Canis lupus familiaris: one gene and its partner. The protein of the gene in region 1 purifies or fractionates together with the protein of each later gene. This does not show direct contact. Links are inferred from orthologs where the notes say so. Each region holds a gene or a part of one and is shown in the gene's direction. Other genes may lie near its edges.

What was found. The genes of interacting proteins can lie anywhere in the genome.
Region 2: the proteins of KLC1 (region 1) and KIF5A purify together in Homo sapiens (co-immunoprecipitation; 7 studies listed by BioGRID and IntAct, counting the BioPlex papers as one, with this or other methods). This does not show direct contact. The link is inferred for Canis lupus familiaris from reciprocal best matches to the Homo sapiens genes KLC1 and KIF5A.

The regions. Positions count from the first base shown.
Region 1 is NC_049229.1:71,780,123-71,784,361, forward strand, and holds the start of KLC1 (kinesin light chain 1), read left to right. Parts: upstream 1-1,410; 5' UTR 1,411-1,431; intron 1,432-1,765; coding exon of another isoform or gene 1,766-2,513; intron 2,514-4,239. Other genes in the region: basic proline-rich protein-like, read right to left, coding at 1,241-1,401, 1,766-2,513. UniProt on the Homo sapiens protein: Kinesin is a microtubule-associated force-producing protein that may play a role in organelle transport. The light chain may function in coupling of cargo to the heavy chain or in the modulation of its ATPase activity.
Region 2 is NC_049231.1:2,011,431-2,014,993, forward strand, and holds part of KIF5A (kinesin heavy chain), read left to right. Parts: intron 1-315; coding exon 316-417; intron 418-954; coding exon 955-1,015; intron 1,016-1,252; coding exon 1,253-1,324; intron 1,325-1,480; coding exon 1,481-1,585; intron 1,586-2,124; coding exon 2,125-2,145; intron 2,146-2,415; exon of another isoform or gene 2,416-3,220; intron 3,221-3,425; exon of another isoform or gene 3,426-3,563. UniProt on the Homo sapiens protein: Microtubule-dependent motor required for slow axonal transport of neurofilament proteins (NFH, NFM and NFL). Can induce formation of neurite-like membrane protrusions in non-neuronal cells in a ZFYVE27-dependent manner.

The DNA.
Region 1 (4,239 bases):
TGCTTCTCCCTCTGCCTTTGTCTCTGCCTTTCTCTCTTTGAATGAATAAAAAAAAAAAAAAAAAAAAAAAGGATAGGGATCCCTGGGTGGCTCAGTGGTTGAATGTGTGCCTGTGACTCGGGGCATGATCCCAGAGTCCCAGGATCGAGTCCCACATAATAAAGCCTAAACGGAGTGGCAGCAGTGGGGATGGAGAGGGATGGACTACAGCAGTAGGAAGGATTTAAGATCTTGGCTGCTCATTAGAAGAGGACATTAAGCATCTCAGGTCCTCCCTGGGCGAGTGGAGGGAACAATCACTGCACCCAGAGTTGCAGGCCTCACTCAGCCCACTCCTCTCGTCTCTAGAGCATGTTGGTTACAAATGTGTGCCCAGCCCCTAGGTGCCTGTTGAGGAGTAGGTGACATCCAAGCAGCAGTGTGGCCAAATCATTAAGGGAAAGGTGGTTTGATTCACTGCTTCTCCCTCCCCCTTTTTTAGCTGACTCTTTGCATTTATATGAAAGTAAAGTAGGGGATCCTTGGGTGGCTCAGTGGTTTAGCGTCTAACTTCAGCCCAGGGTGTAATCCTGGAGTCCTGGGATCAAGTCCCACATCGGTGGAGCCTGCTTCTCCCTCTGCCTGTGTCTCTGCCTCTCTCTCTGTCTCTTATGAATAAATAAATAAAATCTTAAAAAAAAAAAAACAGTAAAGTAATTGAGGGCACCTGCATGGCTCAGTCGTTAGGCATCTGCCTTCAGCTCAGGTCATGATCCCCGGTCCTGGGATCAAGCCCCCTATTGGGCTCCTTGCTTGGCAGGGAGCCTGCTTCTCCCTCACCCTCTGCTGCTCCCCCTGCTTGTGCTCTCTGTCAAATAAGTAATAATAATTAAAAAAAAAAAAAAAGTAATTGGATCTCCCTGTGAAAATCGAGGAGCATTTACTCCCCCACTGGCTGTGTAATTCTAGGGTTAAACCGGCTGTTGGTGCTGGGTTGATCTATCTGAAGAGCTGAGCAGTTCAAAAGCAGATGGGGGGGTGGTGGTGGAGGGACGCCTCCTGGTCACTAGTGCCCCAGGGCCCGGCTCTTGGGATGTCTGCAGGCTCCAGGTGGTGGGGGTGGGGGGTCCTCCCGAGCCGGTGGCAGGCAGAGAAAGCTGAGCATTGCCCCCTGAATCAGCATGCGTCCTCCTGCTGGCTGCTGAGTCAGGCCTGCAGAGCTGGCGGTGCAGCAGGCTGAGGCCCAGGAGCGCGCTCTGACCTGGAAGTACTGCCCTTCAGGCGGGGGCTGGAGGTCGTGGCACGGCTGCCGCGGGGGAGGGGGTGCGTGCGGCCGCGGGGATGGCATCTCCCTGCCCAGCCTGGCGGTGCAGTTCCGAGCGAGGCCTGCAAAGTCCCGCTGAGCTCGGATTCTTGAGGACCCTGGGGCGAGGGCGTAACGGGGCGGGGAAGGTCAGGGTCGCGATCAAAGACTAGGTGTCCCCGGAGAAGGCCCGGGGCCTGCTGCGTGGCCTCGCCCCTCGGCCGCGCCGTGGACAGGCTGCTCACAGCCCTCCTGGCGGCTTCCAGGGAGACGGCGACGCGCGCCGGAGACGCGCGGGGCCGGGGCTCGGCGCGCCGAGAGGCGGGCGAGCAGGCGCGCGGGGCCGGCGCGGGGTCCCAGGCGGCCGCGCCCCGCCCCAGCGCCCCCTCCCGCACGCCCGCGAGCCTCCTCTCCGCGCCGGGCCTCAGTTTCCCGGCCGCGCCCCGCCGCGCCCCGCCCCCCGGCGGCGGGCGGTGACGTCACGGCCGCGCGGGGCATTGTGGGGCGGGAGCCCCGAGCCGGGGGAGGGACGCCGAGACGCCATTTTCGGCGGCGGGCGCGGCGGAGCCGGAGCAGAGCAGGAGCCGACGGGCGCGGGGCGGCGGCTGCAGGGAGGAGCCGCGGGGGACAGCGCTCGCGGGCGGCCGAGGATGCTGCGGGGCGGCCGCGCCGGCGCCCCTCGCTCGTGACCGCGGCGCCGCGCCTGAGGCATCGAGGCAGCGGGCCCCGCGCAGCCCGGCTCCGCGCACGCGCCCGCGCCCGCGCCCTCCCGGTGCTGACAGCGAGCGCGCGGCCCCGCGGGAGCAGCACGGTGAGCGGCCGGCCGTCCCCCGCCGCGGCACCCCAACGGGCACTTGTGGCGCCCCCTCGTCGGGCCCTTGGCGCCGCGCCCCCGCCCCGCATCCCCGGCGGCGCCCCGCGGTCGGTCCCCTCCGCGCGTCCCCGGGCTGCGCTGCGCTGCGGGGGGGGGGGGGCGGCTCGCGGAACAGCTGCGGACCCCGAGCGGCGGGGGGGGGGGCGCTCCCGGGAACGCGGCGGGGGGGCGGCCGGCCGGGCTTTGTCCGAATCCTCCCTCTTCCTTCCGGCCCCTGCCCTCTCCCGCGGCACCGCCCTGGGCGGCCGCGCCTGTCGTGCTCGGGGGCGGCGGCTGCCGGGGCCCCCCGGGAGGCCGGCCCCGCGGCGCCTGCTCGGCCGCCCCTGCCCCTGGACCGCGGGACGCGAGCCCGCTCATCCTCCGCGTCCACCTGCGCTGGCGTCGCTCCTGCTCCCAAACTTGAAGCCGCCCCGACGCGGTTGTCAAATGCGGTGCCCTCTCGACCCCCCAAGACCTTTAAACGCCTTGAAACTGTAGTAGTAGTGCCTGGCGGATTGGGTGGTTTTACAGCGTAAGGTGTGCAGATCCAGGTGGTGGGTTGTTTTTTTTTTTTTTTAATTATTATTTTTTGTGCTAGAATTGTTGCTTATTGTTTCATTATTTAAACAACACATTAACAATTTACGGTAGGCGTTTCATAAGGAGTCCTTGCAAAAAAACGTTTCTAAAGTGTGAGGACAGGGACACCTGGGGGGGGGCTCAGTGGTTGAGCATCTGCTTTCAGCTCGGGGCGTGACCCCGGGATCCTGGGATTGGCACCGCGTCGGGCTCCCTGCGTGGAGCCTGCTTCTCCCTCTGCCTGTGTCTCAGCCCCTCTCTCTCTCTCTGTGTGTCTCATGAATTAAAAAAAAAAAAAAAGTGAGGACAACAGAAAATTTGAGGTTCGCTATTTAAACTGGTATATTGAAGGGCGGTTCTTTGATTCTTTGCGTTAGTTAAATTTTAAGGCTTTTTTAGATACAGCATGACTAAGCTATTGATCAGAGTCGTTAAGCTCAAAATACATGGAAGTAGTTGAGTCAAAAACCCATTAGGAAATTGGGACGATGTTCTTAAGTCTCATCATCTTGTTACCTGTTCTGGATTGGCCTCTTTTAGGGATTGGCAACAGGCCTTAGCGAAGGTGGGAAATTTGATTCATTGTTCTGTTTCCTAAGCATCTGTAGGAATACAAATGATACTAAATATTAAAAACTTCAGATAGTGGGGGAACTGCATGTGGGAAGCTCGGCACTCCTAAGAGCCAGTTTCCCCAAGTCATCAGAGAATGCAACATCATGTTGCAGTGGAGTCTGGCAGCCCTGTGGTGTTACTGAGGGGGGTGGAGGACCCAGGGTGGTAACTTGTCTGTGACCTGGCTCGTGCACTTTGCTTCGTACTACCTTCTAAAAACACTAGACGATGCAAATAAAGGTAGAAAGACCTGCATGGGAGTCAGGACACTACTGCTAGGAAGGATGAGAGAAAATACCACTGGGGAGGAGCACATAGTATCTTAAGTATTTATTTTTTTTCTCTTAAGTACTTTAAAATGAAAACTTAACTGTAGTTACTTAAATTATATATTTAAAAATGATGAATTCTCATTCATTCATTCATGCATGCATGAGAGACACAGAGAAGCAGAGACATAGGCAGAGGGGGAAGCAGGCTCCCCCCAGGACCCTGGGATCACACCCTGAGCCAGAGATGCTCAACCGCTGAGCCACCCAGGTGCCCCGCACCCCTGCCAAATTATATATCGTTAAGCATATTTCGTAATGTTGAAGATAAGCCAGTGTGTAGCTTTCCATATGGGAATATAAACACCAAAGATTGGTTAATTTGTAGGATTCATGTAACATGGAAACATAAGTGGAATATGATAAGAAACCAGAACTTTATGTAACAAAGAAGTGATCAGTAATATCCTAAACTGAAGTACAGGCAGGTTTTACATGTCAAATTTCAGGGCATAGAATAAAAATGATTAGCATATTAAATGGTGAAAGCATGACCTTAAATGTCTATCTAGAACCAACTGAATGACAGGTGCTGTGCTAAGTTGTTGGGAAAATAGGGATAAAAAACAGTTGCTGGGATG
Region 2 (3,563 bases), on another chromosome or scaffold:
TCTTGGCCCAGGGTCTGGTTGGTTCACTTCCACGTGCCACTCCCCCAAAGCTGCCGCAGCTTTGTAGCCCAACTCCAGGAGGCACAGGAGTGAGGACTAGTTCTTCTCCTTGAGCTCTTATGATTAGATAGCCCATGGTTCCTCACTGTGTTGTGCAAACGGTGGCGTGCACCTGCCTCTGATAATCCAAACGTAGATGCACCAGTCCTGACTGGACCCACTTGTACCAGAAGGAAACAATTTGCAGAGCCAGTCTTTCCTTAACCCCTCATTAATAGCTTCTTGTTCTCTCCAACACCTCCTTGCCCTCTGCAGCCTGAATCAGAAGCTCCAGTTAGAGCTAGAGAAGCTTCAGGCTGACTACGAGAAGCTGAAGAATGAAGAACATGAGAAGAGCAGCAAACTCCAGGAACTGACGTGAGTGATGGTCCAGACTGCTACTCACTCATACCAGCAGAGGGAGGGTGCGATGGAGGTGGGGGTCTGGTGTTCCCAGGAAGTAGATGCCTCGGAAGAGTCATATGACAGGGTGGGAAAGGACACACCAAAAAACAAAAAACAGAAAGGAGACTTTCAGAAATGACCTCTATTGAATATTAGCTGCCCCAGCCTAGAAAGATCTTTGTGATATTCTGTTAAGTGTGAAAAGCAGGCTACAAAACAGGTTGAATGGTATGATCCCATGAAATTTTTGTGGGATGTACCTGCATAGAAGTAAGAGTCCAAAAAGACGGACACCAGAATGTCAATGGCAGTTTGATCTGTAAGTAACAGAATTATGTGCTTTTTATGAAACTCGTCTTACTTTTTTTTTCTTTTCTAATTTCTGCACAGAGAATGTGGGTAACTTACAAAATAAATAACAATAAAGTATAGACCAAAGGAATGGAGAGGGAGGAGAGAGGGAAGAAAGGTAATCCTGAGGGACTCTTGCATTTCCTTCTTCCCCTCCAGATTTCTGTACGAGCGACATGAACAGTCCAAGCAGGACCTCAAGGGTCTGGAGGAGACAGTTGTGAGTAGTTTCCCTCTGGGCCAAGTTAACAGAGTGAGGTGGGGGCTTCATTTCTTTCCCTGATTCCTTCATAACCCCATTCCTTATACAGAGTCAGTCCGCGGCATAATCAGGACACATCTTTTCCTAAAGGATGAGTGACTCACCTGACCAGATAGACTGACAATTCCAATAGTTTTGGAGGCAAAAGGTTGAGCTGGTATTTGGCCAGTCCCAATTTGTCATCATTCTTTCTAGGCCCGGGAACTCCAGACCCTCCACAACCTTCGCAAGCTGTTCGTTCAAGACGTCACGACTCGAGTCAAGAAAGTGAGTGCCATCCTTGACATCTTCCCAGCCCTCATACTGTCTGCTGGCCTCAGGTTTCTCCAAGCCCTGTGGCCTCCAGTGTAGCTGGCTTGGCCTGGTCTGGGTGAGGCCTCTTTGGCCGTGGGACAATCACATCTTTTCTCCGTCTTTAATCAGAGTGCAGAAATGGAGCCCGAGGACAGTGGGGGGATTCACTCCCAAAAGCAGAAGATTTCCTTTCTTGAGAACAACCTGGAACAGCTTACAAAGGTTCACAAACAGGTAAGAGTAGGGGAAGGGGTGAAGAGAACTCTTGAGGCCAGGTGCCTTGGAGACCCAAATCCTCTGAGCTCCCTTGGATTTAGGAAAATCTACTTGCAAGTTTTCCTCACTTTTCCCTTTTACTTTCCTTACTAATCCCTTCTTTATTCATGTTTGGTTCCACTTTACCTTGTTCTTTGTTCCGTGCCTGTTCTCCCTTCTCAAAGCTCCCGACCTGCCTCTGCTCAAAGTGAGATCCCCCAGGCCTATGGATTTGGAGGGAGAGATTGGAACTGGTAGAGGTCTCAGAGGCAGGGGCCTGTAACTACAAACGAGGGATACTGGGCAGAGATAGGAAGCAGTGGGACAAGGAGAAGCCAGGGAAGTTGGGCTTTCCCTCATGGAGAGAACTCCATCTGCCTAGGCCTGGGGCAGGCATGCAGGGTAATGAAAGGATGTCCTCCAGATGGCCCAACCAGGCCCTAGTAGGGGCTGGTTGAAACTCCTGTGTATTAAGTTGCTGCCTCTCTGTCCCCCTCCTTGCTGCTGCGGCTCCTTAGGTGGATGACTGGGTTTCAAAGGTATGGGGTGGGGAGGTAGACGGGGCAGTCCAAAGGAGTCAGGACAGGAAATGTTTGGTGCGTACAGAGCAGGAGCCCCCTCGCTAGCGCCAAATGGCTGTGCCTTGAAGACAGGTGCCACCACATGTCAACTGGCTCTTCTAACTGACTCATAAAATAAACCCTAATCTATACTTCATTCGCTTTCTTTCAAACCCAACTGAACACTTGATTTAAACTCATATTCTCACTAAACTGGAGATTAGATTCCTCAGTGCAATGCCCAGCATATTTAGCAAATACTTGGTACATCTTCTTTCTTTTCTTTCTTACATCTATAATGAAAAAAAAAAAAAAAATCCCAGAATGGTCAGGATCTGCAGAGTTCATTTATTTTATTTGGGCCTGCAGAAGGCTATACTATCCTCTTTCGCCCTTTGTTTATTATAAAGCAGTGTAACAACATAACAACATTCCAGAAAAGTTGAAAGTCAAGGGAAGAAACATTTGTAATCAGTTCTACCACTCTGTTTCCCTTTCTGTGTGTCCACTTTCCTTCTCTGTTCAAATGCACGTCATATTGCTTATTTCCCCCCAATATTTGTGTTATGATAAAACAAAACCAAACAAAACCCACATAAAATTTACCACCACATAAAATTTACTTATCTTTAAGTTCAGTGACATTAAATGCATTCATGCTGTGGTGCAACACCCCTACCATCCTGCCCCATCACTGTCGTCTTGTAAAACTGTTTAAGGGAATCCCTTAAACAGTAACTCCCCATTGTGCCTCCCTCCCAGCCCCTGGCAAACACCATTCTTCTTTCTGTCTCTGTGATTTTTACTCCTCTGAGTACCTCACATAAGTGGAATCATCCAGGATCTGTCTTTTTGTAACTGGCTAACTGCACTCAGCATAATGTCCTCCAGGCTTATCCACAGTGTAGCATGTGTCAGGAAACCAAGGGCTGGGCTGTTTCCGTTTTCCTCATTGAAGTGGCTGCCTCTCTCTGCTCTAAGTCCCAACGACCAAAAGCAACTCCCCTAGACGATGGAGGACTCCTCATAATGTCCTACCTCAGCAGACACAAGACTAGAAAGGAAAATGAGAGAAGTGTAGAAACTTCTCAATTAACAGAAACTTAAATAGCCAGGCCTTCAGCCCTGTTCCTAATTAAGCTGAACCACTGTGACAGCAAAGCATTGTTTATGATCCTTAAATTGCCCAAAGTGAAAGAGGCACAGATGTGTTTTCAGCTCTGCCCTTTCTCCCTGGGCTCCCTGCTACACCAGCTTACCTGGTATCTTCCAAGGCCGGCTCCTGCAGGCTGGAGAGCCCCCAGTCATTGTGTGAAACCCTATAAAAAGATCAGGGAGTCTTTTTCTGGCTGCAAGATGGTTGCTCTCTAGCTTAAATCAAATGGGAGAGGGACACC